Linked DNA regions of Alligator mississippiensis. The protein of the gene in region 3 interacts with the protein of the main gene of each other region in a pairwise test. Links are inferred from orthologs where the notes say so. Each region holds a gene or a part of one and is shown on either strand. Other genes may lie near its edges. The genes, in order: RABAC1, TOLLIP, NTAQ1 and XIAP.

Region 1 (7,744 bases), on a different chromosome or scaffold from region 3:
AGACCCCAGAGCAGGGAAGAACCCAGGTGTCCGGGCTCCCAGCCCCCACCTGCCCTAAGCAATCCCCCCCACCCCCCTCCCCTAGCTGGAGAGAACCCAGGTATCTTGGCTCCTAGCTCCCACCTACTCCAAGTCATCCCCCCAGCCTCCTTCCGCAGCTGGAGAGCACCCAGGCGTCTGGGCTCCCAGCCCCTGTTGCTCACCCCCCAGCCCCCAATCCCAGCCCATAGCTGGAGAGAACCCAGCTATCCAGTTCTCAGATCCCAGATCTCAGTTCCTGGGAGCAGAATTGGACAATGACCCAGGTGTCCAGGCTCCCAGCCCCTGCTCCAACTCCAAACACATCATAGACACATGGTGCTGGGAGGTGAGCGGGGCGTGCCATGTGCACAAGGCGTGTGTGCTTCAACACTGCCCCATCCCTTCCACACAGGACACGAGCTCGCACTCAAAAGGGCTTTATTAGCATCAAGAGGCCTCCCGTGGAGTGGGGAGGCCCAGATACCTGGGTTCTCCTACTGGGAGAGCGGGGGCAGAGCTGCAGCGAAGGGGGCTCCAAAGAGCTGGTGGGACAGAGGAGAGGCCAACATAGGGGGGCAGACTTGGGGGGCAGAAGGGGCCGCTGGGAGTGGAATTCACACAGGCTCCATCTGCAGCTCTTCGCCCTCGGCCGGCTCGGTCTCGTAGAAGGCGGCGTGAGAGCCAATGACCACCAGGGTCGCGCCTGCGGGGTCAGGGATAGGCACGGGAGACAGGAGGATGGGGGGGGGGGGGGGGCCGTAAGTACCCCACCCCACCTGCCCAGCTGGTGCCCCTCACTCTCCACCCGCATCCCCCTGGCCGCTCTCTACAGCCCTGCCGGTGTCCCCCACTCCCAACCCACAGCCCTTGCCCATCCCAGCCCTGCTGTTGCCTCTCACTCCCAATCCAAAGTCCCCCACCCCGCTACAGTCCTGCCGGTACCCCTCACTGCCAACCCGCAGCCCAGTGCCTGCCCTGCAAGCTGGAGGGGGGAGGTTCCCTCACTCACCCAGAACCCAGAAGACAGCCGATCCAGCCCCCGCCACCCAGAAGAGGGGGAAGGAGACACCTCCGGCCACTGCATACTGCTGCCCGGCGCTCAGCTCACGGCCTGGGAGGGGGGTTGAAATGGGAGGGTCAGAGGTACCCAGCACCACCCTAACCCCAGACCAGCCCCACTACCAGAGGCAGCCCACCATGCCCAAGGATTGGGCCCGGGCCCTATGGAAAAGACCCAATCCCCACCCTCCCCAGGTAGCTCAATGCCCCCTCTCCCCTGCAGCCAGAGGAACAAGCCCCTGCCCTATGCTCCCCTCCCCTCCCCCTGCTGCCTTCCCAGGATCAGGCCTGGATCGGGCCCCCTCACCCAGGACCACGAGTGGCCCCTGCTGGGCTCGGACGTGCAGGACGTAGCAGGCGCCGAGGAAGACAGCGAGAGCCACCACCAGCAGCGGGGACGTGATGCTGGGGGGGGACACAAGGGTAAGTGGGGGGGGGGGGAGCAGAGCTCCCAGGTGACCTCGATCCACTCCCCTGATCACCTGCCATGCCAGCGCTCATAAGACATCCTGGCTTCCTCAGCTCCCACCCCTGGGGGCAGGTTCAGGGCCCAGGTCACCAGAATCCCACTCCACCCGCCAGGATCTGGGCTTGTCCCCCCAGAATTGCGGGGGCCGGAGGGGGCAGATCAGCTTCCACTGCCCCCATCAGGACCCCAACCCCCAGCATCGGAGCCCCGCCCCATGCATCCGGCCCTGGCCCCGCCCCCTGCAGGATGGGTCTCTTAACCCACCAGGCTCAGACCCTGCCCCCCAATAGAAGCGGGCCCCCTCCCCGCCCCGCGGAGCCCCGGCCCCGCCCACTCACAGGCAGTAGAGCGCCAGGGCGGCGGCCACGCACGCGTAGTTGCCGTGGAAACGCTGCGCGTTACGGGTGACGCGCCGGCCCAGCTCCGCCGCGTCCCGCGGTTTGGCGAAGCGGCGCGGGTCCAGGAGCCGCGGCCACGGCCGGACACCCCCGCACCGGCCCAGCCAGCCCCGCGCCCGCGCCAGCCCCGCGCCCAGCGCCGCGCCCGGCCCGGGGGGCGGCGGGGACCTGCGGGGGACGGGGGTGAGACCCTGCGGGGGACCCGCCCCCCTCTCCCGGGGGCCCGCACCCCCCCCCGAATCCCCGCACCCCCCCTCCCGGGGGCCCGCACCCCCCCGCGTCCCCGCATCCCCCCGCTCCACACACCGCCACTGGAGCCCCGCCCCCCCCCGGGGTCCCGCATCTTCCCCCCCTTTCAGCCCCGGGCCCCGCACCCCGCCACCACCTCCGCCCCCACCCCCCCGAGCCCCGGGGTCCCCGCACCTGGCCCCGGGCGCGGGCGGGTCGCTGTCGCTGTCGCTGCCCGGGTGGAAGAGCTGCTCCGGGCTGGCGGGGCCCTTCCCGGCCATGGCGGCGGGGCCCGAGCCGGGCCTGGGCGGGAGAGCGGGGGGCTGGGAGCTCCGGGGCGGGGCTGAGCCCCTTTACAAGCCCCTGGGGCCCGATCCGGGCGGGGGGGGGCGCAGGTCCCGCGGGGACTCGGCCCCTTTTAGAGCTTCCGGGACCCGACGCGGCCCGGTGCGTGCGCAGTGCCGGGGGCAGGGGCGGACACGGCCCGTAGGGGGGTCGCCGATAGGGCCCTGCTCCGGGGTGGTTCCGGGGGGCAGGGCCCGATCCGGAGTGCCCAAGGGGGCCCGATCCGTGCCCGTGCAGGGCGGGGCCGGCCCCGATCCCGGTGTGTCCCCCCCCGCCCCCCAGCAGGGATGCGCGGTCCCTGCATCCCGGGTCGCCATGGTAACGGGTCCCCGCCGCCCGCCCGCCCGCCCGCCCCTCACCTGCGTCCCGAGCCGGAGCGCGGCTGTCGGCGTGGCAACGGGTAACCGACGCTGCGGGGGGGGCGGGGCGCGGGGTATGCCGGGAGCCAGAGGCGAGGGGCGCGAAGCATGCTGGGAAATAGAGTCCGGCTCCTCCAGCGCCCCCCTTCCTGGAACGTGGGGATGGGACATGCCCCTCCCACACACACCCCTTCTGAGCCTGGGGCGGGGCTCCTTTAACAGATTGATTTGCATATATGCAAACAGATGCCACTTTGAAACGGGGAGAAATAAGGCTCCGTCCACAGCGCGGCTCCAATCAGCTCTTTATTGAGGTGTCAGCGGGGAGCTGGGGTAGGGTCGTTTGCGTGAGCTCATTTGCATGCATGCAAATCTGTGCAAATGACCGTCCCCCGTCACTGCCGGGCGTCTTGCTCCCGGGAAAGCTGGCACAGGCCGCAGGGCAGGCAGCAAACCATCACCAGCCAATCGTCGCACACAGAGCCCTGGGGGGGCAGAGGGAAGCTGGTGCCCCTCACGCCAGACCTGCAGCCCCCCCCCCTTCACCCCCACTGCCCCCCACTCCCGACCTGCAGCCCCCCTACATCCCCGCTGCCCCTCCCGCCCAACCTGCAGCCCCCCTACACCCCCGCTGCCCCCCACTCCTGACCTGCAGCCCCCCTACACCCCCGCTGCCCCCCACTCCTGACCTGCAGCCCCCCTACACCCCCGCTGCCCCCCACTCCCGACCTGCAGCCCCCCTACACCCCCGCTGCCCCCCACTCCTGACCTGCAGCCCCCCTACACCCCCGCTGCCCCCCACTCCTGACCTGCAGCCCCCCTACACCCCCGCTGCCCCCCACTCCTGACCTGCAGCCCCCCACTACACCCCCGGTGCCCCTCACTCCCAACTCACAGCCCTCTGTTTGGTGCCCCTCACTCCTGACCTGCAACCCTTCACCCTTGTCTGGTGCCCCTCATTCCCAACCTGCAGCCCCTTCCACTCCCTCTGGTGCCCCTCAATCCCCTCCCCACAGTGTCCTTCACTCCTGACCCGCACCCCCACCAATTCCCCCCGGTGCCCCTCACTCCCAACCCGCAGCCCCCCTGTCCCACACCCACCTCGATGCGGTAGCGCTCACGGATGCCGGTCCGCAGGGCCACCAGGGCCCCGGGCAAGCAGGGCAGCAGGCAGGTCTGGCCGAAGCGCTCCGAGACCCGGGAGGCCAAGATGCAGGGCACCAGCGCACCACACAGACCTGGGAGTGGGGCACACCTCTGGGAACCCTGCCTTGGATATCCAACCCAGAGACACCCCCCTCCAGAGGTGCCCCTAGGGGACCCCATTCCCCTAGGGCACCTGAGACCCCCCCCAAACCCCCAGAGCCACCCCCCTACTCACAGGTGCCCACGTCAGAGCAGCAGTCGCAGAGCTCGGAGCTCCAGGCCCCCCCCGGCAGCGCCCCCACGCTGAAAACTGCCCCAGGGCCCAGCGGCCCCGGCTGTGAGTCTACAATGATCTCCGTCTGGTAGGACATGGTGGTCTGGGGGGGGAGGGGAGGTTAAAGCAGAGACCCCTAACCCCCCCCAGCCAGGTATCTGTGGGGCAGGGAGCTGAGGGTCGGGAGTGAAGGGCACCAGCAGGGCTGGGTGGGCAGGGGGCTGCGGCTTGGGAGTGGAGAGCCAGGGGACTGTGGGTCGGGAGTGAGGGGCACCAGCAGGGCTGGGGGGGAAAGGGGCCTGTGGGTCAGGAGTGAGGGTCACTGGCAGGGTTGGAGGGCAGGGGGCCGCGGGTTGGGCATGAGGGGCATCGGCACTCCCCAACACCACCTGTGTCCTTGGCTCCTGCGCTGGTCCTGGTCCAGTCCCTTGTGCCTGGATGCAGGGGGGTGGGGGCTCGCAGACTCTATCAGCCCTGGGGCGTGGGAGCGGGCAGGGGAGGGGTGGTGAGAGCAGGGGGGGCTGGGAGTCTGGATGCCTGAGTTCTCTCCCTGGGCCCTGTGTGTGTTTGGGGTGGGGGCGGGCGGGGCAGGGCGAGGCCCCACGAGGGTCAATATTTGAGTGGGTGGCTCCGCTCCCCGCCCCGGCTGGACTTTGCCCAGGGAACGTGCCGGGGTGGGGGGCTGCTGGTCAGGAGTGAGGAGCACTTGCAGGAGTGGGGGGCAGCAGGTCAGGAGTGAGGGGCACTGGGGCTGCACCGTCAAAGGAAGCCCATCATCCAGGATGCCTGGGTTCTCTGGGAGGGCAGTAGGGTCTGGGGGTGAGAGCAGGGGGCTGGGAGCCCGGGCACCTGTGTTCCTTCCCCATTCGGGGAGGGGTGGTGTCGCAGTCAGGGCTGGCCTCCCTGGGCGCCACCTCGGCCGCCTGGGTTCTCTCCAGCTCTGGGAGAGGCTTGGGCGCCTAGGGGTTTCCACCTGCCTGTTGTCTGTCTAACTCTATCCGTCTGTCCATCCATTCAGCTGTCTATTCATCCGTCTGCCTGCCCACCCCTCTTCCTTCCCATGCCCCATAATGCCAGGATCCCCCCTGCTGAGATGCCTGGTTCTGTGGGAGAAGTGCAAGCCTGGGGAGGCGATTGGAGCAGTGCAAGGCCTGGGTCCAGGGGACTGTAGGTCAGGAGTGGGGGGGGAGTCAGGTTGGGGGGGCAGGGGGCTGTGGGTTGGGAGTGAGGTACTGGGTGCGTGCGTGTGTGGGGGGGACGGGGGGGCCTGGGTTCCCATGCTGCCTGGGGGGAGGAGGCCAGGATGCCCTGGTTCTCTCCCAGCTCCAGGTAGACCAGCACTGGGGGCAGCTGGCTCTGGGGTGGGGGGCTGTGGGGCACGGCTGGGTAGAACTGGGCTCTGGGGTCTCCAGCAGAGGGCAGCAGGGCCCCACTCGCCCTCTAATTGCACAGTTAGTTAAGTCCATAATGGATTTCAGGCCATTAAAGAACAACAGGCCCCTGGCAGCGCTTCCTACCCCTCTTTCAGGAATAGGACTTGGGCACCGGGGCTCCCTGCCTCCGCTCCCCAGACTCCCCTCCTTTCCCTCCCAGAGCTGGAGAGAGAAGGCAGGAGTCGGAGCCCCCAGCCCTGCTCTCACCCCCCAGGCGCTGCACCTCCCAGCCCTGGAGAGAGCCCAGCACCCTCCTCCACTTGAGTGTCTGGGCCTTTAAGATGGTGGCCACACCTCTTTGTGGGTCTGCCCAGGTGGGGGGCTAGATGAGATGGGGGTCCAGCTTGTCAGTGGGTCCCTGGTGGCCCTGGGGCTGAGAGGTGCTCCTGTCATTTGGGGGTGGACCCCAAATTTCCCATCAGGGTTCCTGATTGGTTCTGGATTTAGCCCCTCCCCCGCAGCCCCTGCCCACTTCCTGTGTTCAGTACCCTAGGCCCTAGTGAGACCCTCGCCTGGGTTCCCCCAGCTCTGGAGGGGAGTGGGGTAGGGTGCCAGCCGCACGGGTAAGGAAGCCAGGCTGGGGGCCACACGGTATGTCCGGCGTGGCTTTGACCTGTGGCCTCAGGCTTCCTAGGCTAGCTCTTAGGGAGCACAATTGGTCAGCGAATGAATTAACGAGCTGCTGGGATGCAAACGAGCCCCTTGGGGAAACCCCAGCCCTCAGAATCTGAGCTAGCTCAGGCTGTCCACGCCTCATTAGGACTGGCTGCCTTAGGGCAGCTGGGCTGGCTTGGGCTGGGCCCCATGCCTCCTTAGGTCTGGCTTTGTTAAGGGCCTCAAGGGCCCCAGGCCTCTTAAGGGTTGGCTTCGGTGCCAGTGGGTATCCAGCTGGGCTGTTAGCCCCTCCTTTAGGCTGCCTCTGCCTTGATCAAGAGGCCTCCAGTCCCAGCTCAGGGAGGTCTGAGCCTCTTAATTAAGTAATGAATACTAGGTGTTCCTGGATTTCTACTCTGCTTGGGACCTGCCCTGGCAGGAGAGGGGATCAGATCTGCTGGCAGGGGGGACTTGGACCCTCGGATTGTCTCCAGCCCTGGGAGGGGAGAGGAGGGGAGTGGGGTCTCAGGGGGTGAGAGCAGGGTGGGGCTGGGAGCCCGTGGGGGAGCTCTGGGAGGGCCATGGGGTTTGGGCTGGGGCGGGGAGGCCTGCCAGAAACGACGCACTGGGGCCAGGAGAGCTGGCGCCAGGTGCGGCAGGAATTGATCCCGGGGGATTAGGTTTGGTGAGAGCTGCGTGCCCCACCCAGCCCCAAAGTATAAAACCCCCTGGGCACCGGTGCCCACGTACAGCACCATGCACATCCTACTCATCCTCGGCCTCCTGGCTACGCTGCTGACTCCAGGTATTGCTGGTCCTTCTGGCCCCTGTATCCCCCCATAGCTCCGGGGGTCTGAACTTGGCAGGAGGTCTGGCCTCCTGGGGTATCCAGCGATGTTATTTGGGAGGCGAGGGGGGCTGGACTGGATGGGGAAAGGCTGATGTGGGCAGGAGGGGTGTGGGGTGGGCTTTGGGGACCCAGTAACTCCCAGGACCTCCCAGTTTCCCCCTCCCTCATGTCCTGCTCCCACCAGTCCCTTGTTTCCCTCACTCAGAGCTGGAGAAAAAACCCAGGAGTCTGGGATCCCAGCTCCCTACTGCTGCAACCCACCAGACCCCACATCCTCCACAGTGAACCCCACTCCTGTCCCAGAAAACCCAGGCTTCCCGCTCCCCCCCCACTCAGAACCCCATCCCCCTCTCCTCTCCCAGAAAACCCAGGCATCCTGCTCAAACCCCCCAGGCCCTCTCCTTTCCCAGACAACCTAGGCATCTGGCTCCCAACCCTGCATGCTCCAACCCGGCAGACCCTTGTCATCACCGGGAGCCTCAGAGAGAAGCCAGGCATCCGGGCTGGAGAGCGGACAGTCTACCCCTCTTGTGCTGAGCTCACTGCAGAGGGCTGGGGTGTGGGGGTC
Region 2 (7,421 bases), on a different chromosome or scaffold from region 3:
AAATTTGAGGGAGCTGTTACCAGAAATTAACGATCAAGGAAGCTTGCTAGGGAGTCTGTGCTGGGTCAGCCGCACTATTTAATGTTGTTCGGCCGGTGCAAATCAGTCAGAAGCCTTGTTTAAATGGCTACTAGAAGATATCACTTGTGTGGGGCTCTATAGAAAATCCTATATACATGGCATGTAGCCAGAGGAAAGGGGGTGCTGCCTATATGTAGTAATACTATGATGATCCCCAACTCCACATACAGCCTAGCTGGCGTAATGTACTGATTGAGTGTATATTGATCACAAGATCACAAGGGATTGCAAAACTTTCTTGGTACAGACCCCACTGGTGTTCTACCAGTCCATTTACTGGACAGCATCCTTGGGCCAAATACACCTTTGAGGTAAGTCAGTGGGGCTGAACCTTCCAGCTCTGTGGGCCAAATGAGTGGTGTGAAGCTGGATCCCTCACATGGGATTGGTTTATGGTGTATCCAGTGTGGGGTCAACACAGTCTGTGGGTACAATCCAGTGAGCTGGCCCAACCCTGAACACAGCCCAATATCATGAGCTGGATCCAGCTGCTGAGTGACACCCCCATGCCAGCAGGTCTGACACATGCCAGCATGATCTAGTAGATAAGGCCATGTCATCTGCCCCATGGGGCTTGCCATGTGTTCAGAAATTGGGCAGCATGGGAGGGATAATTAATGCTGTAATCCCCCCGCCCCCAATTTCTGGACTTGGGGGGATACTCGTGGGCCAGATGACATGGCCTCACAAGGTGGATCTGGCCCACAGACCAGAGATTGAGCACCGTTGATGTAAGCTGAGTGAATTGTGTCAGGGGTGAATTTGGTCTTTTTTGTTAAATTTAATTGATGTATTTTCTGGCTTGCTTTCTTTGCCAGTGGCAAGCAGATAGCTAAGCCTTTTACTTTTGTTCCATGATAATGTTCAGTGCTGTTTGTTGATGATAAATGCTTTAAGGTTCCTGAACAGGCAAAAGGAAAGGTCTGTTTTGCTTCATTTATAGTCCTATAGTTTGAAATGAATTCTAGTTCCATCAGAAGAGCAATTTATAAATATACCAGGGAACATAACAGCCTCTATCCTCAGCTAGCTGTTCAGCTTGCATCTGGTATCAACTGTATTATCTGATCAAGGCCTCCCTATCAATTATATCAAATAATGTCCATTTTTAGAGCTAGCAAGACAAAAGCAAAAGATGCTTTTTCCTTCTCCATACATATGTTATGGTAGCATGAAAAAGATCTGTTATATATTTGGAATGCTCTTAATTGTACTGTTCTATTTCCAGCTGTTGGAATCTGCACTAGAATTTTAATTAATGACTAAATTTATGCAGCAAATCCGAACAGGAAACAGTTATGCTATTTAAATAGGTTTTGAAATTCTCAGATTTTATCTCCCAGAACAGCACTCAGATGAATATTAGAGCTGCTTTTGTTCTTCTGAAAAGACTGGAATTGCACAACAAGCTGGAGGAGATATGACTCCTGGCATGAGGGCACAGGTGGTTTCCTCATCAAGGGCCAAATCACACACGCCTGCAGAATCATAGAATCATGGAGCTGGAAGAGACCTCTAAGGTCATCTAGAAAACCAAAGCAAGGGGAACTCTGTGCCTTTTTTCCTCACTGATGTTTCTGTCATTGGGTGGGTGAGAATCTGCTGAATGGGCAGGAAATTTGAATGCTGGAACCTGTGGGTCCTCTGAGATCTAAATGGATTTTAGGGGACTTGCTGTAGAAGTCTGTGTAGCAGTCTTATTCTTCCACTTGGTCTCCTGTTGCTTTTACTCATTCTTCTGTCCGGACAGATCCAATTAGGCTATGATGAAGTAACTGGGTGCTTAAGTGCTCTTGGCAGCAGCTGTGCATGGGGCAGTGTCAGTGGTTGTGCTGCTGACAGCATGCCAGTGGCAGTGCCAACAGCACAGATGCTGCTCTTTTTGTGCTACCCACCCAGGGTTGCTGCCTCAGACTGGTGCCTCAATCTTCTTCTCTTCATTATTCTTCTGCCATGATGACACGGACTGCACCATTTGCTACTACCCTACTTCCACCCCTAGAAGGATTCATTTTTGTTAGGAAGAAAGTCTGCTCAGGAACAATAATGATTTTGTGTGGGCAAAACAAGCAAAGCAAGGTTTAAGTTCAACATGAAAGTGATATGGCTAAACTTCATGTTGTCATGCTATATAACATTGGCATTTCACTGCAACTGTGTGGTGCTGTTTCACTGCTGTTGTGGAATCACAGCGTACTGATATTTCAGTACAATGCAAGAATGATTATCCCATCACTGTGCCACCTTATGATGTCATTTCAGTGCAACTTCTCAGATATTTCACTAAACAATTGTGGTTCCCCTTCCATCTCCTTCAGCATACTGTATAATGCTGTATTCTGATGGCAATATTTACTTTGTTCCACTTCCATCTTGTAACACTGCATCACAGTGGATGCATCTATGTGAGATGCTGACTGCGCAGTAGCCTCAGCCTGATAACTACTGCGCAGTAGCATTGCGTGGCAAAAAATGTGATGCGACACTACTGTGCAGTAGTATTAGGCTACTGTGCAATAGTGTCACCAAAAAGGCATTTGCCGGTGCTACTGCGTAGTAACTCAGGTTACTATGCATTTATTTAATACTTGTTTATACGAGTTTATATTTATACAAGTACTAAATAAATGTGCAGTAACGACTGTGCAGTAGCATCTCATGTAGACGCGGCCAGTAAGTTCTGGGCATGAGGAAGTGGTAATAGTGAGGTATCTTCCACCACTGGCACCCTGCTACATGATATTTCAGCCCCACACGTACAATTTTCCTGTGCAACACCATGGTGCTGGTGCATGGAAACAATGATCCACTGCAGCACAGTTACATTTTAGTACAAGGCAAAGGAATGTATCTGCCACACTGACATACTAACTTCATAGTGACATTTTCATGAAACATGAGGATGATCCTACATTGTCAAATTATTATGTTTTGGGCACAGCAAAGATGATAGAGATGATGTTTTGGTGCTATGTCATCACTTTCTCACAGTGATATTTCTGTGCAAGGTGACAACAGTAATGTTTTACCCCATATTGCCATGTCACATCCTAGTGGGTTACAGCACCCTGCTTTACTACTGTATCACAGGAGCAGTTTGGCTCTAATGCTGCCTTGGGTCTGGACAGTGATAACTCAGTAATGGGCAGTCCAACTCAGTGCAGCAGGTTTACTGTGGTCTACTGGTGTCCATCCATGTGGGTCTTCTGTGTAGGGCTTTTTTGGAGCAGGGTGGAAGTACCTCAACGGGCATCTTGGAATAGGACAGTGGTGTCTGACTAACTAGGGTGCAGAAGCATTTCAGGACTGGGCACTAGAGTCTTGTCATTTGGCAGGAAAATCCCTCATTTGGCACAGTGACTATTCTGGCGTGAGGCAGATCAGCTCTCATTTTGGGACAGAGGCTTCACAGCACAAGAGAGCGGTGTACAGTATTATCTTGGTGGCTATCTAGTTATGGGGAGTGTCTTCAGACCCTACAGTGATCTCTTGTGCAGGGTAAGATTGTCTCCCACCAGCGCCAGGGCACCTTGGATATGGTCCTTTTGGTGTGGTACAGTGACAGCTCACCCTGGGATATACTAGGGCAACCATGTCACATGGCAGGCCTTTCTCTGGAGTTTCTGTGCGATGGTACCTCGGCAATTGCCTCTAGGGCTGGGGCCAGTGGCCATTTTGGTACGGATGGCGCAGCCTGCATGAAGGCGGCCATGGCCGTGGTGCTGCAGCCTGGAACGTGCCTCAGTGTGATGCATCTGAGTGTGTGGGTAGTGACTGTATTAGTATAGGGGCCATTTTGGTGGCAGGCGCTACCATATGTGTAGGGGTCAAAGTCCCAGGCATGGGGACAGCTGTTTTGAGGGAAAGCCTTGTGTTGTGGGGCAGAGGTGAGGCACTGCAGCACTCCCAGGCACCCTGAACCCCACCCTTTGGTAGTGATCCATCCACACCAAGGGCAGAGTGAGAAAGGTCTCCAGTACCAGTATTGCACATGCGTGCTGCCTCTTCGCGCATGCGCAACACAGCTTCTTGAGACCGATTTCTCAGGAGAGCGCTGTCCCATAACAGCCTCTTGCGCAGGCGCCAATTCCCATCAGCGAGACTAACTCACAGCTTCCGAGGTGGGGGGGCAGTAAGAGAGCACGAGTGTCGTAGCGCGCATGCGCCACGTTCTCACCACGGGCGCCCCGCCCGTCCCCTCCAGCGCATGCGCGGAGGCCACGCCGCCACTGCGAGGGCGTCAGACGGGGCAGGAGGAGAAGTCAACTCACAAGCTAACCACCCGTTGCATCACGCATGCGCAGCGGCGAATAACGGGGCGGGGTGGGGCGGGGCGCGTCAGCTGACTCCGGAGCTCGGCGTTCGGAGGCTGTTAACGGTAGCGGCGGCCTGGCCGGGCGGAAGGCGGAGGTTCCTGGTCCGAGTGAGGCGCTATGGCGACCACTGTCAGCACCCAGCGGGGCCCGGTGAGTGTCGGCCGGCAGCGGGCAACTGGGCCCCCCCAGTCTCGGCCCCGCGGGGGGGGGAGGCCCTGAGGATTTCCCGCTGTGTGTGCGCATGCGTGGTTTCCCCTCCCCCCCCTTTTTGGGGCCTCCCTTGCCCCACGTGCTGGGGGAGGGGGACTCTGGGTCGGGACTGGCCGTCGATGTTTGTAAACGGGTCCTGGTACAAAAAAGGCTGAGAACCACCGGGATCGAGGACGACTTACCCTCCCAGGAGCCTGTGCTGGCGGCACACAGGGGTGTCCCACTCGGCCCTGGCTGCTAGGACCACCCTCTGCTAGGTGACGTTGTTCGAGATGTGACAGGGGGCGGGTGGCACCATTGGAGTGTGATCCTGCTTTGGGCAGGGGGTTGGAGTGGGCCTCCTGAGGTCCCTTGCAGCCCTGGGCTTCTGATTCTACCATGGATCGAGTGGGGCTGCATTGAGACACCAAGTGTTCAAGCGCAAGAGCACTTCTTCCGGTCTCACCAGTCATTCATTTGATCTGCCCAGAGACACCCTGCCCCCAAAATCCAGTTTCTTGGACATTGCGACAGCATCATTCCAGTGTTACCACAGACACAGACGTGTGATGAAACCCTGCTTTACTCTTCTGTTCCAGTTCTCTCGTCCTTGCCTGCGTCTGGGGGCAGTCTGAATTTTGTGTTAGTACGTCTATTTACAATTGAACCCTGGTCTTCAGGTATTTATAGGGAACAAAATGGCTAGGCTGAGCAAACTAGCGGACTTATGTAGTGATGCTGAGAGGCAAGAAGACTAGGTTGTTTGTTACACTGGCCTTATCTGATGATGATGGAAGTGTGTTAGTGATCTCGTTTCCTGCGGTTTCCCCTTTGTGTTAGCTCTTTAAGAATATGTTTCTCTTTACAAATGGATTTTGTTAACTTTCGTTGCTAGGCCCTAAAGCCTTTATATGGAGGGAGGCCTTTTGTCATTTTCTTTGGCTGGGCGCCTGCCTGCAACCTTTCGCTTCTGGACTTTCCTCTCCACTAACCCCAAAAGGGCTCTTGCTTCAAATCCGTGACCGCATATATAAAACGGTTTCCTTTCTACTGGAGAAGAGCAGCCTTTCAAGACTATGTATATCCCCTTTCCTGATAGTCTTTCCACAGAAAAACTAATGCAGTTTCTATATTCCTTCCTTGTGACATGGAGGGCAAACAGCATCTTCCAAAACTGTAATGTCAGTAAGTAGACACTAAAGGGGGCTAACAGGCTAAATACAAGGTCCTGTCTAATGCTCTAATGCTGCAGAGAGTGTTACCTCTTTATCCTTCTAGCTTGCTCAAACTGGAAGCTTTCCAAGGTTGTCTTGGACGTGGGTGTCTGGGAGTACATGACAGAATGCCACCAGACTTATTTTTATGCCTACACTTTCTGATCTGTAGTTCTCATTTATATGTACATGGCAAACATTCCTAATTGCAGCTTATTTTTTCAGATGTATTAAAAGTGAAATTCCTTCTGCCCTCTTCTGATAAATGTTCAGGTGAAATATAAAGAATGTATGTATGGCAGAATATATAATGGCTGCTGTATTTCATTATGTAATTTGCAATATCTGGTACTTTTATAAAAAAAAAAAATGACTAGTGTTACTGGGGGGGGGGAATGGGGGAAATTTCTGTTTCTAAACTTATGAGATTAAAATACGCAGTTTGATTCCTTAGTTTGGTTCTCTCTGCATTCAGGACTGGAAGGGACCACAGGGTGCTCTGGGAGTTGAGGGGTGATGGGGGCTGTAGTTAAAGTGCCCCTGTTGCCATTTTTCAGCACAAGGACGTTGATCCACATGATGCTCATTTCTGCTGGAGAGCGGTAATTGCCATGTTCTAGCAGACTCAATTAATTGAGTCTGCTCCGACACACTGTAATTAGAGCATGTCCGAGCAGCCTCCCTGCATGTATATAGGCACAGAGAGACTAGTCTCTGTTATTGTTGGTAACTGTGATACAAACTGATAAAGAACCTTGGAACCTTGCTCTCCTGGTAAGACAGAAATTGGTTTCTGACTAAACTTTAAACCTGTTTGTACTTGTGTCAATATTGTCATTTAGCCTGACTGATCTTTTCACATCCCTCTGGTGTCCATCCTGATACATTTTCATCTTGCTAGGCTAAATAACCAACCTTTTTTAGTCTCCCTTCCAAAGATAAGATATTGGGAGAAAAAGGAGAGCCAAGTAGCCCTTCTCTGTACCTGCTTCTTTTTGAATTTATCTTTCTTGAATATGGAAGGCAAAGCAATCAATTTTGTTTATACTAACACCATACCTTGATGATGGGATACTAGGTCTCTAGGCCAGTTCTGACACACATCTGTCACTAAAGATGCACTGATCCTTTTTCACACAATTTATTTTACTAATCTTAATTTTTCCAAGTAAAAAACATATGTTGTAAAACTGCTATTTATGTATTACTTATTTGGCATTAAAAACAGTTTTATTTGTTTTCTGTTCTAGAGTGAACACGAACTCACTTTTGACACTTTTACCTAGTGCCTAATAACGTTTCATAAGATAAGACTGTTACATTTCTGCTAACCCAGAGCTAGTGAAAGGAATTGCAGTAAGTAACCACTGCTTCAAACAAGGCAAACTTGCTCTGCCTCAATTTAGGGGTTAGGAGGGAACAGATGAAACTATTGTGATGCTGCTCAATCTGGTATCAGTCCTCTCTTCAACCCTCCTATCCACTTCCATGCCAGCTTTTAAGTGGGGTAACTGTGTCATCTTTTCTGTCTCTAACTTGAAATGTTAATTATTTAGACATGGTTCTCAATCAGGGTGCTGGGAGACCCCATTAGGTGTGTTGTGATACAGTCTAGCCCCCT
Region 3 (7,921 bases):
ACATCACTGGGAAGCAGGAGACGGGGCTTCCCTCCACTTCTGCATGTCCCAGCAGCTGCATGTGGCAGCAGGAATCGGGGAAGGCAGCTGGCTCCGTTGTGCCGGGTCTTCCCACAGTGGTGCATGAGGAGCTGCACGAGACGCAGGAAGCACTGCACAGTAGAGATGGGCCAACCTTGCTCCACTCCATGCCAGCATGTGCAGCTCCTGGAATTGGCTGGAGCTCAGCCAGACCCCCTCACAAGCCCCACACACACTCCCCACACCCCACCGTACACCCCCACCCATCCCTCAACCACACACCACACATGCCCCTCCACACAGTATACAAGAGTAAGACTATAGTTTGAGATATTATGCAATCACCTTTATATACACCATGCAAACACACATAAATCAGGACAAAAATAGTTTTTGACAAAACTAAAATACATTATTGTAGATGTTTGACTTTTTTTTATATGATTTGGTTGTTTTCGGTTCCAAGAGGAAAACTGTGCCCGCCCCCCCCTCCAAGGAGTACTTCTGGGGCAATGGGAGGGACTTCCAGTGGCAAAGGTCAGGGGTTAGGGGTGGGACTTCTGGTCCCAAGATGGCGACCGGGGGCGGGGCACATTTCAAGGGGCGGGGCTACCCTTGTGGCCCTCAACAGCTCACCAAAATTCATTTAGCAGCCCTCCAACTGAAATAATTGCCCACCCCTGAGCTAGACTGTTCTCAATGGTAGCAGATGACAGAACAAGGAGCAATGGCCTCCAGTTGCAGCAAGGGAAGTTTTGGTTGGAACTTAGGAAAAACTTTTTCACTAAGAGGGCAGTAAAACACCGGAACAGCTTACCAGAGAGGTGGTGGAAGCTCCATCCTTGGAGGTTTATAACACCCCACTTGACAAAGCCTTGGCTGGGATGATCTAGTTGGGACTGGTCCTGCTTTGAGCAGGGGGTTGGACTAGATGACCTCCTGATGTCCCTTTCAACCCTCGTTTTCTATTGTTCTGTAACAAAGGCAGGGTAGGTTTGCACTGTATAGACCAGGGGTGGGCAAACGGCAGATCTGGCCTGCAGCTGGATCCCATTGCCCAGCAGCCCCTGCCCACACAGTTGTGGCCCGTTTCCATGGAGACCCCAGCAGTGGGGTCTGTGACAGTGTGGGGCCAGAGTTTCCATGGAGACCGGCCCCAGCATGCAGCTGGGCGGGGAGAGGCTCTGTGGCCGGGGCTGGAATCTTGCCGTGGTGACAGCGTGGGCTGGAGCTGGGGCAGAGCTGTGATCCGCTGCCTGCACATCCCAGCCTGGGGTGTGTGGGCCACAGATCGCAGCTCTGGCCCAGTTCTGCAAGATCCCACTGCAAGATCCCAGCCCCAACGCAGCTCCCCACCCAGCTGCATGGCTTGTCAGCTCTGCTGAGGCAGATCTCCATGGAAACCCTGGCCAGCGCCCCCGCTGCTGGGGTCTCCATGGAAACCATCCACAGCGATGCAGGTTCCATAGCCTGGACTTTACTCACCTCTGTTATAGACTAACCAAAATAGATATTTATCTAGCACAGGGGCAGATCTGGGAAGCGCAAGGTTGCAGTCACACCTCCCACCTTTGATTCCTCTTCCACCCAAGACTTAAAATAAAGGGCCTGGCAGTGGCAGCAGCATTTCTATTCAGGTAGCAGTGAGGGAGTCACTTGACTTCATGGCTCATTATCATCTACTTGATTCTTTCTAAGCTCTTAATTCCACAAGCCTTTCTGATTTGTAAATGGTCTTGCCATACCACTAATAAAGCTAGCCTTTCTTCTTTAATTCTCCTGTCTTTTAGCTGCTCCTGATAATGTAGCTCCTATTTCACAGCCCTGCAAACTGTTTTTAACTTTTGGTGCAAACATTAACTTGGGTGAACATCAACTCAGGTGTAAAATTAACTTTCAGTGAAGCACTGCATTCTAGATTCCCTACCTGCTCACCTCCCTGACCTCCCAAGTACAGAAGGCCAAATTCAGCCCATGACAGCAAGGTTCCTATTTGATGGGGGGAAACACATCTGGACATATTGTAAGAGCCATTTTGGAGATTAGAGTTCTGTTTAATAGTTCAGTCACACCTGCTTGCATAATTAATGGATTAGGAAACCCAAAATCATAGGATCATAGGAAGGGACCTCACAAGGTCATTTAATTTAGCCCCCTACTCAAGGCAGGATTATCCCTGACTAAAACATCCCAGCCAAGTGTCTGTCCAGACTGTTTTTGAAAGTTTCCAAGGATGGAGATTTCACAGCTTCTCTAGGTAGCCTGTTTCAGTGCTTCACCATCCTCATAGTCAGAAAGTTCCTTCTAATCTCCAAATACCTCCTCAGTCTTCTCTTTTCCATACTAAATAATCATCAGCATAAAAAGGTTTTCCCTTTTCATATATTTTTCATATATGATTCCTTTTCACAGCACTAAGCCACATCTCGGGCTGTCATCTGGGACCGAAACGAAGATCTCAGACCCAAAGCATAATCCTCTACTAGTTTTAGTAGCAACAAGTTCTTGATTTTAAAAAAGGCCTAATTGTAGGTTCCTAATCCATTAGCTCTTAAATTATGGCCTGGTTACCAACATTTTCATTAAAACTGGCTACTAAATACATTTTTCTATCTTGTGGTTCTGATTTGGGAATACACTACTAGTACTATATGGTTCAACTGATAGGGGAGAGAGGACAAAGACCACACTGTCTTCCAAACAGACATTGTTACACTATACTTTCCAATCCAAAATAAAATTATTTTAATGAAAAGCAAACCCGTTTTCTTCAAGACTGTTTTTTTACTTCCCTCCTCTTTAGCAAGAAAATGCGTGAAGAGTTCACATGAAGATTTTAGTCCCAAAAAAAGAAAAAAGAGAAAAGTTCAATATATTTCAGTTAGAAATGGGCATCAGCCAGAAACCTCACATCTGTACACTCCAAAATTCTCTTATCCACACATTTAATTGGAGACCTCACCATGGTTTTGATGTGAAGCCAGGAGTTTTAAGAACTGTCTTGTTCTGGAAAAATTTTTTGAGGGTGATATCTTTTATTAGATCAGCTATGCAGTTGGAGTAAAATTAGATAAGCTTTTGAATTCTTTCCCAGAGACCTGTCTAAGTGTCTAACTTTCTTCCAACTATACAGTTGGTCCAGTAAAAGATATCACCCCCTCCTCCCCCCCCCCAAAAAAAAAACAAACCCCACAACCTTTCCTCTCATATTTCCTGGAATATCACTGGTATTTCACTCCAACCTTACCAAAACATAATTTTTCTCACAGCCTTAAGCAGTTGGAGAAAGTGTCAGGCCTGCTTTGAAAGTTGCGCAACAGGATGTACAGGGGCCATAGTAGCTGTGAAAATAGAAAACAGAAGTACTAGTAGGTCAAATATGGACAGTTTAGGTTTGTTGTCAGGAAAAAAGAAGACCTCCTTTGCAATAAGACAGGACAATTGATCATTGTGAGAAAGACCAAATACTTCTTTAAACCCCTCGGTCACTGATTTCCTTATTTCTGTGTGCTAATGAGAAGAGTTTAAAACTATAAAAGGTAAGTGACACCCAAAGCAACTTCTAGAGACCAAACACATGCAGCCCCTTTCAGTTTGACTCAAAACCCCACACACCACTTGCTTGACCTCATTTACAGTCTGAATGCTTCAAGGTAGTCTGGTTCAAGCCTCCCTTGCCTTAGTACACAGCATATGTCAATGGCCGGCCCAATCCCCAGATAGGCAAAGCTATTTCTCATTAGTGGTGCTCAGGTGTCCCCGTAATATCATAAGCATTTATCAATCCATAACTTTTGCATAATTAAATTTTACAAGAGACTCTGGAATGCATTTGGTAAAGCTAGCAGCTTTAAAGAAGACATTGTTTTATGGCCCAGGCATTGAGAAGCCTCAAACGTTTTGAGGTAAAGTGTCTTGCCCTCAAAGAAGAGAGAGTGGAAGGAGGAAAAGGAGAGGAATCAGCCCACAGCCTACTCTCCCCTGCGGAAAGACCTGCAATTTCTGTGGGTGGACCTCTGGACTCTAAGCCACCTCAAGACCCATCAATGAGCTGTGGCAGAGATCATCCTCCAATTGAGGGATTGCTGGTGGTAACCGAGAAGACTTTCAAGCATCTGCAAGTTCCTGGGGCTTAAAACCTAGTCCAGGAATCTCCTTCTCCTGCCACTGATTTAAATGCAACCAAGAGGAAGCACTTGCCTCTACTATGACAGTATTTGCCCCACCAGGTACCAACTATGCTTTCTCTCTGGCTGGTTTCCATGCCCCTGGGAAACTTCTTCATTGTTAAAACAGTGAGGCAGTGAAAGAGATGCCTAGGGAAGTTGTGGACTCCCCATCACTGGAAGTATCCAAGAAGAGGTTGGACAGTTACTCATGAATGCTGCGTGCCCCCGGAGGCTGTGGGGAGCATGGCGAGCTCCCACAGGCGGTGGTGGCGCTGTCAGCGGTGGCAGCGGCAAGCTCCTGCAGGCAGCTGTGGCACTGTTGGCGGCAGGGGCGGCGAGTGGCAACGGGTAGTTGGCGACCACCCGCAGATGCCGCTGGAAACAGCAGCCAGCGGCAATCAGGGACCACCCGCAGATGCCACTGGCGGTGTCCTTGGTGGGGGGTGGGCAAGCAGCAACTGCCTCCAGGCGCTTTTTGCAGGGGTGCACCACCAAGCTTTGGGGGTGCACGTGCACCTGTGTTCACCTTCTACACGTCACCAATGCAGGCACTGGTCAGGGACGATCTAGGTGTAGCGCTGTGTTCTTCTATGGGGATTTCTCAGGCTTCTGGGCTTTGCTGCTTGCCTCCACCCTTACCTTTCTGCTACCTGTTTTAAGCCTCCCTCAGAGGCACTGGGTGTTGGCAACAGCCAAGCCTGGGGACTTCGGGTGCTGGCCGGAGGAGGTTCCTAGCTGGAGGGTCTCGCCCCTCTGCTCAGGGCCAGACGGATCACCAGATTGGCGTCAGGAAGGAATTTTTCCCCCTGGTCAGACTGGTCCAGACTGGGGGGGTGCTTTTTCCGTCCTCTCTGGCAGAGCTGCCTGGCATCTCTTGAGTGCAAACTGACAGCACCAGGCAGGTCGGGCGAGGAGGGCTGTGCCGTGTCAGCCTGGCTCGGAGCAGCGGCTCGCGGGTGCGGGTGCGGGGAGGCTGACACCGGGCTCGGGCCTCTCCCGCTCCTGCCAGGCGCAGGCTCCCTCCTCGCCCCCGCCGCCGCGCTGCTTCTTGCCGGCAGCGGTCGCTGCAGCCGGGTTTCCCGGGGAAGGAAACGCCGCGGACTCGCGCCCGGGCCCGATGGAGCGGGCGGCGGGGGCGGGCGCTGCACCTGCCCCTGCCCGGCACGGCTGCGTCTACACCAGCTGCTACTGGTAAGGGCGCCGGGCACGTGTGCGGGGGCGCGGGGCTGCCCCGGCCCCGGCCCTCCGTGCAGCCCCGGGCCGCGCTGCCAGGCGGGGCGCACGGGAGCCGGGAGCGGCCGGGGGAGCCGGTCCCCGCGGGTGCGGGCACGCACCGCCCGGCCCCGAGCAGCCCAGCAAATGCTGCTCCGGTCGGGGGGGGGGCCGGAAGGGAAACACTGTCTTCTTGAACACTACATCCCAGAGTCCCTTGCAAAGTTGAATTATGCAAAAAAGTGATCGATTGATGCATGCTTGTGATATTGCGGGGGCACCCGAGAGCCACTGCTAAGAAACAGCATTGCCTATCTGGGGACTGGGCCGGCCAGTCGCATCTTGCTGTGGGCTCAGGCATGGGAGGCTCCAGCCAGGCTGCCTGGCCATCCAGGCTGTAAATGGGGTCAAGCAAGTGGTGTGTGGGGTTTGGGTCAGCTGGGTCCTCCCCATCCAGACCCCGCTACCCCCGCGTACCGTGCTCTCAACTCTGCATGTGAACACCCCAGCCTGCCCCGGGGGAGAGCAGGGGCGCCACAGCAGCCGGCGTCCTGCCTCTATGACATGTTGTCCGTTTGCACTCAAAAGATCCTGGGCAGAGCGCCAAGCCCCCTGCTATAAAGGAAGGCAAAAGCCCTCCCAAGCCTGTACCAGTCTGACCAGGGGGTACAATTCTTTCCTGACCCCACTGATGATGGGTCTGACTGAGTGGAGGGGCGAGACCCTCCAACCAGGAACCTCTGGCTTTGGTCCCAGGGGGAGCACTGGCGCACCCCAGAGTCCCCAGGCTTGCTGTAGCTAACCTCCAGTGCCTCTGGGGAGGCTTAAAAACACCCTGACACATATAGCAGAAAGGTGGGGTGGGGTAACCAGCAAAGCCCAGAAACCTGGGAATACCCACGAAAGAACATGGGCACAGCTACGCATAGATCATCCCCAACCAACGGCTGTTCAGTGGCATTGTTAGGATTGTTTCTGTACTATCCTTCTATTTAAAACATTACATGCGTTTCACCACCTGCATTTCTCTTTTCAGGCCAGCTTTTTATTAAAGGGGCTCAAAGGGATACTCAACTCAAGGGTAATTTCTTCAGAGGAAAAGAGAAAGGGAAAAGTCTGGCACAATGCTAACTCTCGATACTGCACAGCATTTATTTTAGTTGGAGCCAACCAAATGCTGCTGCTTAGCCGTCAGACATTTGGACTGCAATACTGTTTATTAATTGTATGTGAAGATTTGTGTTATAAAAAAAACACCGTAGGTCTAAGTTCTAAATTTTATCTTTACAAACAGGTGTGTAAAGGAAGGGTCGGCGGGAAGTCCTGGGCAGAAGCTCAAAGTGGGAAAAGCACAGTGGCTATCCTGCTCTGAGTTTTATGAATTGGGAATGAAGCAGACATTTAAATAAAATCCCTTGTGTTTTACAGTGAAGAAAATGTTTGGAAGCTTTGTGAATACATCCAAAGCCAGGATCAGTATCCATTAGAAGAATTTTATGTTATTTTCATATCCAACGACAGAAAGATGGTAAGTTGTTTTCCATATCACTCATTTGTCACCACCAAATTGAGATTCAGGCCTTTTCACTGTGGTGGGAAGATGGCCCAGGCACATGCATAATGGGAAGCCAAAGAAAGACCCTAAAGTATTTTTGTCATGCATGTGTGAGTCAGGACTGGACAGGAACCTGAGATGTATTAAATCCCTCAGCCTAGTAGGAAACAGATGGAACAGATTGTAGGATACAAAATAGATCCCCAATTAGGAACTCACCAAAAAAACCCTCAGACTAATAGAAGCTTTATTATTATGATTATTACAGATAAAACATAAACCAATTAAGTTTGTCAGCCAGTAGACAATAATTTGTCCTGTAATAGTCTGAAATCTTACCTGTTTGTTTAATCTTACTTCAAAAGAACTTCTTAATACTTGTAATTTGCAGATACCACTTTGGAAGCAGAGATCAGGATGTGGAGATAAACCTGTAGTTTGGGTAAGGCATTCTATTCCCTTTTATGTTGGTTCTTTTACATACTTTTGTCTGCAGTGTTGTATCATCTTTTAGTAGCACATTAAACACTGCAACTAGCATTGCCACATATTTCTCCTAGTATTTCTTCCCTAAATCAAATATTGATGTGGGCATAATGGACAAGATGCACTTAGACTTTATCTTGCAGCTTCACAGCAAGAAGCTTAGCAGTCCTGGGCCTGGCAAGTAGTAGGCAACTGTCAATCCTCTGGAGCATGGTGTACACATAAGAGTAGTCAGATGCCTGATCCAACGCCTGACTGACAAGCCCAGTTTGAGAGTGACACAGCTTGTTACAAGTTTCATGGATCCATATGTTGTCTGAGTTGGAGTCCATATTTACAGCGTGCTGCTTTCTTCTTTATTGCTTTGCTTCCATCCCCTGGATCGAAGCTGCTTGATGTTAAGCTGCACCCAGTGACATGTATGGATAGGTTTCTATGTGCTCCTCCCAGCTTTCTATGTTGATGTTGAGCCACTTCA
Region 4 (7,343 bases), on a different chromosome or scaffold from region 3:
TCAAGTGACATGATTGTTTTTACTGCTAAGTAACCAGAGAGACCATTAATCTTGGTCCAGTGAACTACTCACTGCTTCCCTGTTCTGTTTCAAACTCTGAAATAGAAGTGGGCCAAGCTGTTTGGGAATCAGAGTCAGCCTGACTGCTCTCACCACAGATGTAGTGCTTTTTTTTTGCTTTCTAAAAAATATTTTAATCCCTGTAGTCACACTTGTTAGAAATGAAGGCACTGTATTGTACAATACCCAAACTTTGGGAACTGAATCTTGATTTTGTCATGTAGGGCTCACCAACCTGTGGCACAAATGGGCAGCTGGGATGAGAGGCCAGCCCGAGAAGGACTGGTAGAGCCTGATGGGGAAGAAAATCCACCTGGGATCCTTATAGCCACTGCGTTTGAGTGGGTACAGACCCAAAATCCACTGGTAGGGAAGCAGAGGTCACAGAGGATCCTTGAGAGCGTGAGAGGACATAGCCTGAAGTACTGGGGTAAATGGCCGGGTGCTGTCACAGGGCACTAAGGTGCCTGCTCCTCTAAGACCAGAAACTGCTTGGGGAGAGAGCCCAAAGAGCCAGCCAGAAGCCCACAGGTGTAGGTTACCATGGCAACAGGCTAACGAGCAAATTAGCCTGCACCTGCACCTGGTCAGCTGACTGGAAGAGGCAGGGCCCTGGGCTCATATAAACCCCAGGGCTGAGACCAGAGAGTCAGTTCTTTGCCAGTAGTCAAGGGGGAAGGAGCTCTTCTAGAAAAAGTTAAGGGAAGAGGCCTGACTGTCTTTTTGCTTCTGGTAAGATTAAGGGACTTTGGGAGCTCACCAGATACCCTGGCCTACAAGGCCTGTAGTGCTGGGGAAGAGTGGTTCTTTTCAAGGGACAGAGCACACCCTGAGCTGCTTGAATTATGTTATAGCCCAGGGGCTTGTATTTTGATTTCTGTTTGTAAGGCCAGTAGACTGGGCTGAGGCTATTGGGGAAGGAGGAGGTCTCATTGGGGACCCACTACAGTGTGGGGACCCCAGCGCCAGTGTGGGCGCAGTATCTGGGGTGCATGGATCCTAGCACCGAGGGGTGTGGAGAGAAGGAGACAAGGCTGCGGAGAGCCCAGTGCTGACCAGACGCCAAGTGAAACTAAGGCCTTGGAGGGACACTGTGTGAATGCCATCTGTGAGGCTTGGGGCATGGTAAAGGGATGGTTTGGAGCCATGCATGTAGCCCATGAAGCTGAGGGTGTCCTGAGACATCCCTTTTGGAGCGGGACCCAAAAAGCGTCCAAGAACCCACCGGGTTCAGTAGGGTCCATCGAGACCATGTCCAAACAAATTTGAGGGCAGCTTCCCTATTTCATAAAGTTACATGAAGATGTGGCAGGCAAGAAAAGGTGCCCATTGGGCAGGATTGGCATGGTCAGGGAGCCATAGGGGTATCACGGCCATCCCTGGTGACCCCATCCCGTGACAGGTGTCAGCAGGCCTAGGATCCCAGCTTGCCTGGGGAACACCCACAAAGGGAAAGCCAGAGGAGGCCAAGTGAAGTCTGCCTTGCTGAACACAGAGCACTGGAGTGTTAGGTGCAGGCACCAACAATGCCCTGCCTGCCTGCACCATGTGTGCACTTTTAGTTTCATTATTAAGTTGTGCGTTTGTCGGCCAAGAAGGCCTCACCACGCTCCCACAGGGGACCGTGTAGGCAGCTGTGCCAGGAGAATGGGCAATGCCAGCGACCCATCCCAGACATCGCCAAGACCAGAGTGGACCACCTGAGTGGAAAGGGGTGAGGTGTCGGGGTGGTGGAGCCCAACAGAAGACCTACTGGCTGAGCCACCAGGGGCCAGAGGAAAGCACTGAGCAGCACCTGCAACTAATCTCAAACAACATTAAGTTGTGGCAGGAAAATAGGCCTTGGGGCAGTGCTCAGGTGGGCAGGGCATGCCAGTGGTGGCACTGCAAGCATGAGCCTGCCATGGTCATCCAGCAGTCATGAGGCCCCTTTTCTCTTATGGTGCCAAAAAGCAGTACAACTTACAACAGTTAGCATACATATAGCCTAGCACAACCAGAACTCCCACATTATATGTAACTGTGTATGTATACACATACAGGTACTCGTATATCTACACCCCCATAGATGGATAGCTATAGCTATATATAGATTAAAAAAAAAAAAAGTGTGTGTGTATCTAATGGGAACATATATACCAAGTAATATATACATGCATATCCATATACAGGTTTCCCTTGCTTTATGCTGTACATGTGTTCCTGGAAAATGGCACAAAACTCAAATTCGCATAAAGGGATCCCACTTTACAATGTAACAAATAGGGTACGTTCCAAGACCTTGAGTGTACTGACCTCCAGACCCATTTCTACCACTTTTGCAAGACAATTTTGGTACTCACCAACAGCAGATAGTACACACAAGCACAGGGCACTATCATAATGGGGATGGCAGCTGCAGAAACACGTGTTGCGGGCAACGAGCGAGAAGCACAGAGCAACACAAGAGACTATATTTTGGCATCCGCCACTCCCACAACGCAAAAAGCAGCTGACTGCGGGCTTCCACTGCACTGATTGCTGATATAAGAGTGAATTTACCTTGCATGTAACACATTTTTGGTATAAAAAAGGTCATCGCATGAGAGTGAGTTTGCATATACAGAACCCGCATAAAAGTGAGGAAAACCTGTACAGGTACCTGTACACGCACATTTACACACAAACATATGTCACTATATAGTAACTGTATATGGAGGTTTCTCTGTGTCCTGAGTTAAAGAACTATATAGTTACTGTAACCATATAGATAGATCGATAGCTTTATGTGTATATATATCTTTATCTATCTATCTATCTATCTATCTATCTATATGGTTACAGTATCTCTTTATATCTCTATATCTATCTATCTATAGATAGATAGATATAGAGATATAAAGCTATCTATCCTATACTTACATAGGTATAGATATATAGGTATACGTGTATAGATAGATCTATCTATATAGTGGTCTAGGTATAGATAGATCTATAAATAGATAGTGACATGTTTGTGTGTGTGTATATGTGCATATGGATGTGGTATGTGTGTGTATATAGGTATGTATCTATTACACCTACACACATCACACACATGCGTATCCATAGACAGATATACGCGCACACACACGCACAAATCCATACACACGCGCACGCACGCGCACACCCGTGTGTAAGGAGAGGCGCGGGGCCGGCAGGGGGCGCTGCGCGCTCGCCTACGAGGAGGGCGGAGGGGCTGGGCGCCGCCATCTTCTCGGCGGCCGCGCCGGAGCCGGTGCTGGTGCTGGTGCTGGTGCTGCGGGCGGTAAGTGCGGCGGGGCAGCGTGAGGGGAGCGGCCCCGGCCCGGCCCGGCCGGCTGCTCCGGGGGGAGGGTCGCGGGTCGCGGGCGGCCTCTCCAGCCGTGTCGTGCCGCCGGCGGGTGCCGGGTCCCCCGCGCTGGGGGTGGGGTGCGGGTGCGGGTGCGGGGCCCTTCCGGGGCGGCAGCCCGGCCTCCCCCGCCCGGGGCCGGTGCTGCGGGCTCCGCCGGGGCCGGGCTGCGAGAGGCCGGGGCTGGTTTGCCGGCTCCCCGGGGGCACGGCACTGGTGTGGGCCGGGCCCCCGCGGCCCTGTCAAAGACGAGACTTTCGCAGAAGCGTGTCTCGCGTGGGAAAGCTCCTCCAACTTTCATCGCCACCGCCCCTTGTCCCCATCGAAGACGGCCCCTCGGGTCGCCCTCGCCTCTCCCGGCCACGCCGCCAGTCTCTTCCCGGTGAGGATTACTCGAGAAGAGCTGAATTAGGGATTTCCTCGTCCAAAATAAGGTTTTCTTTCTTTCTTTCCCACCCCGCAAATGTTTCCAGCGTGCCCTGCCGCCTCCTGCGCAAAGAAATCACTTTCCACATTTGTTCGGGTCTCCTGTGATCTCGAAGGCCTGATGCGAGAGAGACGATACTGCTTTCATTTGAGACTCGCACTCCGGTTCGGGGATGTACGTGGTAGCCGCGTTGGTTTGAGACCCAAAGAAAGGCAAAAATCGAGAACTCTTGGTGCCCTAAAATGATCTTTGCGCATCCTCTGAAGTGCGCAGACGCACGCACGCCGTCACGCAGATTCCCGTTCCTCTCTCGCCGTTCCCCTTCTTCGCCCATCGTTAATTAGAAACCATCTCCTGTTGGTTTGCCAGCGCTGAGAAACTCCTTTGCAAGGTCCTGTTGCTCGTGCGGTTGTGCGCTGGATCGGTCTCTTCTCTGATCTTCCTCCCTACGTATTTAATAATGTGATTTTTATGTTGTTTATTTATTTATTTTTTATTCAGTGGTGGTCTGTCGTGCTGATGCTTTGTGGTGGATGCATTGCAAGGTAGTTTTCAACTGTTTGCATGCAACTCGGTCTTTAAAGGACATTCACATTTCATCGTGGGTATGATTTCGGTGATATACAGCATCCTAGAACTGCTAAACATCATTTTTACTAGAAGTGCTGATGTTCGTTCCCTAAAAAGGCAGGCGTGTTCAGATGTGTTAGCTGTCCTTTTGGTGGGTCTTTATTTTTCTTGTCTGTTTTGTTTTTATTGGGGGGAGGGGGAGTCTGACATGTGAGACATCTTGCACAAGGGGCTGCTTCTACCTCGCCGCCGTCATACAAGATGCAGACCCTGTGGCGCAGAGCGGATGTCTAATCCCAGCCGTGGTGCTTCAGCAGGTCACAATATTTATTGTAATGCCTTGAACACAACAGGGCTGTTGACTTCATGCAGGAAGCGGTGCTCCTGCGGGGGTCCAAATTTGGCCAAGTTCACCTATTGTGAGAAAAACCAAACGTGTTATGAAGATCAACCACATCAGAGAGATGCCTTCCTGCTTCCTTAAGCCTATCATGATTGATGTCGATACAAAACTGTCTTTTGGGGTTTTCTCTAAAGTGATGGGACCTGGTTAGCTTTCTCTGTTTCTCTTCCTTGTTTGCTGGGTGCTCGTGCTTGTCTTGGCCTGTCTTGTTTGTATGAGCTTGCTAAACTAAGCTCATTTTGCATTTTTTAAGTGTCCTGCTTTCTTCCTTACCTACCTATGCTTGTGGATGTAACCTTGTTTGGTGTTGTGCAAGGATCGTGCAACCGTTCACGTGCTAGAAGCTATATACATGGCATGGGAGCCAAGCTGATGAAAAGAGCCGCAGGCCAGAACTGGTTCAGGAAGTTCTGCACATCTTTCCTTGGCTTCCGTAAGCAAAGGTGGGAGAAATTTTCTCTGTGGCAGAAAGAACGGTCATTAGTGCGCTCCAAAACCAGGTCCATCGCAAGTACTGTGAGGCTAATGTGGTATCTCATTGATGTCAGAAAGCATAAAAATGGGCGTTATTTAAAAGGGCTCTTTACCAGCGTGCAATTTTTTCCTGTTGGGTGGCTTGGAAAGCTCTTTCAGTAGAGTTCATGGGTAATTCTGGTAACATTAGATGCTAAAAGTGCTGTTTTTCTATTTATTGATAGCACATCCGTGGTGGATGAGAGTAGGACAAAGTAATGGGATGAGTAAACAAGAATGGATGAGAGTTTAGGTCAGCTGAGGAAGAAATAAAACAGAGATTTTTTTTTTTTTTCCTCTAAAAATGTTACCTTTATCTCTCAGAAGCGTTGCCTCTGAGATGCACTGGTAGGAAGGTAAAAGGAAAACTGAATCATCTGAACTGCCTTCTGGTTCTTCCCCTTACTTCACTTTCTACCCCCCCCTAAAAAAAGTGGACAATGACTTTTCCTCTTTGAAATCATGGCTGGAAAAATCCTTCATTTGATTTACTGATAGGGTAGAAGAAACATTCCTTAGAGAATTCTGGTCATCCATTAATTTCTGTAGAATTTAACATCACTTAAAAGAAATCAGGGCTGCTTGCAGACATTGTGGGGGGAAAAACCTAGTGCTTTACTTTAAACTTGGTGCATTCCTGTGCCAAGCCCTGTGTAAACCCAGAGGAGGTGGACCTGGCTTGCCTGAGGTCTGTAAAAATTGGGTGGTTTAGTGGGGCTTTTTTGGTGCTTTTATCTAATAGCTGATTGAATCTGTTAGCAAAAAATGCCCCACTGAAGTGCCTGACCTATATAGGTGCTACAGAGCTGGTTTGAAGCAATATGCTGCTGCTTCTAGTGAGGAGTGGGTTTTTTTTTTTGTTTTTTACTTGTTTTTTAAATACCTGCAAGTTTCTAAGTCTTTAGGGTTGTGAGAGAGAATTTGTGAGCTGATGTCATGTCATTTCCCTCAATTTAGAGACAGCTTAACAAAACACTGCAGTGTAAAGACTGTTGGCGACCTACATCCTAGCAGCGTAGTGATGTGGTCAAGAATGCCTTTGGGGCTAGGAAAGACATTTGCCACATGATTTTTTTTTTTACTTTACATTAAAACTCATACCAAGGTGCAGGATTTTTGGTCCCAAGACGGTGACCACGGCGCAGGGCACCTGTCATGTGGCAGGGTTACCCTTGTGGCCCTCAACAGCTCACTAAAACTCATTAAGCAGCCCTCCAGCCAAAATAGTTGCCTGCTAGGCTTGTGCAAAATTTCACTGTTTTGTTCCGAAGCTGTTTCGACACATTTCAAGCTCGAAACAGCAAAATCAAAATGAAACAAAGCATCAAAACAGCTTTGAAATGAAATGAGGGCACTTGAAACATTTCGAAGTGTGTTGAACCAGCCCGGTGGTGAGAGGCAGGGGAGAGCCAGGGCTGCACTCCAAGCGGCTCTGCAGCCCCATGTAGCTCAGCCCAGCGCGGAGCGCAGCCCTGGCTCTCCCCACCTCCTGCCACGGGCTAGACCCTGTGGGGCCCACGGAGCTGATCGGAGTGCAGTGCCAGCTCTGTCCACCTCCCGCTGCCGGGCTGCGCTCCAAGCAGTTCCATGGCCCCATGGAGCTCAGCCCGGGGCAGGAGGCAGGCAGAGCTGGGGCTGCACTCTGCCTCCCACCACCAGGCTGAGCTCCATGGGGCTGCGGAGCCATTCAGAGCTCAGCCCAGCGGCAGAAAGTGGGCAGAGCTGGGGCTGCACTCCACCTCCTGCCACCAGGCTGAGCTCTATGGAGCCTGCCGCTGGGCATGGACTGCTCCCAGCGCTGGTCCCAGGTGGCAGCAGCAGCCTCCTATCATCCAGCACAGATCCAGGGGCCTGCACCCCCAGGAGGAGTCCAGCACAGCCCCACAGCTGGCAAATTTTGCTTTCAAAACTTTGAGGTGCAGTTTCCGAGAAACCTCTGCACCCATCTCTTTGAAACTTGGCAGGCTTCATGCCCTCAGAAGGGGCTAGCATCCCTGCAATTTGCATCTAAATCAGGCAAG

What was found.
Region 1: the proteins of NTAQ1 (region 3) and RABAC1 interact in binary tests that used the Homo sapiens proteins (3 or more experiments, as listed by UniProt). The two-hybrid records come from large-scale screens. The link is inferred for Alligator mississippiensis from reciprocal best matches to the Homo sapiens genes NTAQ1 and RABAC1.
Region 2: the proteins of NTAQ1 (region 3) and TOLLIP interact in binary tests that used the Homo sapiens proteins (3 or more experiments, as listed by UniProt). The two-hybrid records come from large-scale screens. The link is inferred for Alligator mississippiensis from reciprocal best matches to the Homo sapiens genes NTAQ1 and TOLLIP.
Region 4: the proteins of NTAQ1 (region 3) and XIAP interact in binary tests that used the Homo sapiens proteins (3 or more experiments, as listed by UniProt). The two-hybrid records come from large-scale screens. The link is inferred for Alligator mississippiensis from reciprocal best matches to the Homo sapiens genes NTAQ1 and XIAP.

Annotation. Positions count from the first base shown.
Region 1 is NC_081838.1:29,451,998-29,459,741, reverse strand, and holds RABAC1 (prenylated Rab acceptor protein 1), read right to left. Parts: upstream 3,005-7,744; 5' UTR 2,990-3,004; coding exon 2,880-2,989; intron 2,479-2,879; coding exon 2,371-2,478; intron 2,116-2,370; coding exon 1,888-2,115; intron 1,486-1,887; coding exon 1,388-1,485; intron 1,133-1,387; coding exon 1,031-1,132; intron 725-1,030; coding exon 636-724; 3' UTR 443-635; downstream 1-442. Other genes in the region: cornifelin homolog, read right to left, coding at 3,275-3,364, 3,981-4,117, 4,261-4,402. UniProt on the Homo sapiens protein: General Rab protein regulator required for vesicle formation from the Golgi complex. May control vesicle docking and fusion by mediating the action of Rab GTPases to the SNARE complexes.
Region 2 is NC_081825.1:186,447,832-186,455,252, reverse strand, and holds the start of TOLLIP (toll-interacting protein), read left to right. Parts: upstream 1-4,406; 5' UTR 4,407-4,514; coding exon 4,515-4,547; intron 4,548-7,421. UniProt on the Homo sapiens protein: Component of the signaling pathway of IL-1 and Toll-like receptors. Inhibits cell activation by microbial products. Recruits IRAK1 to the IL-1 receptor complex. Inhibits IRAK1 phosphorylation and kinase activity.
Region 3 is NC_081826.1:20,601,387-20,609,307, reverse strand, and holds the start of NTAQ1 (protein N-terminal glutamine amidohydrolase), read left to right. Parts: upstream 1-4,905; 5' UTR 4,906-5,307; coding exon 5,308-5,381; intron 5,382-6,830; coding exon 6,831-6,930; intron 6,931-7,348; coding exon 7,349-7,399; intron 7,400-7,921. UniProt on the Homo sapiens protein: Mediates the side-chain deamidation of N-terminal glutamine residues to glutamate, an important step in N-end rule pathway of protein degradation.
Region 4 is NC_081831.1:71,243,583-71,250,925, reverse strand, and holds the start of XIAP (E3 ubiquitin-protein ligase XIAP), read left to right. Parts: upstream 1-4,340; 5' UTR 4,341-4,355; coding exon 4,356-4,381; intron 4,382-7,343.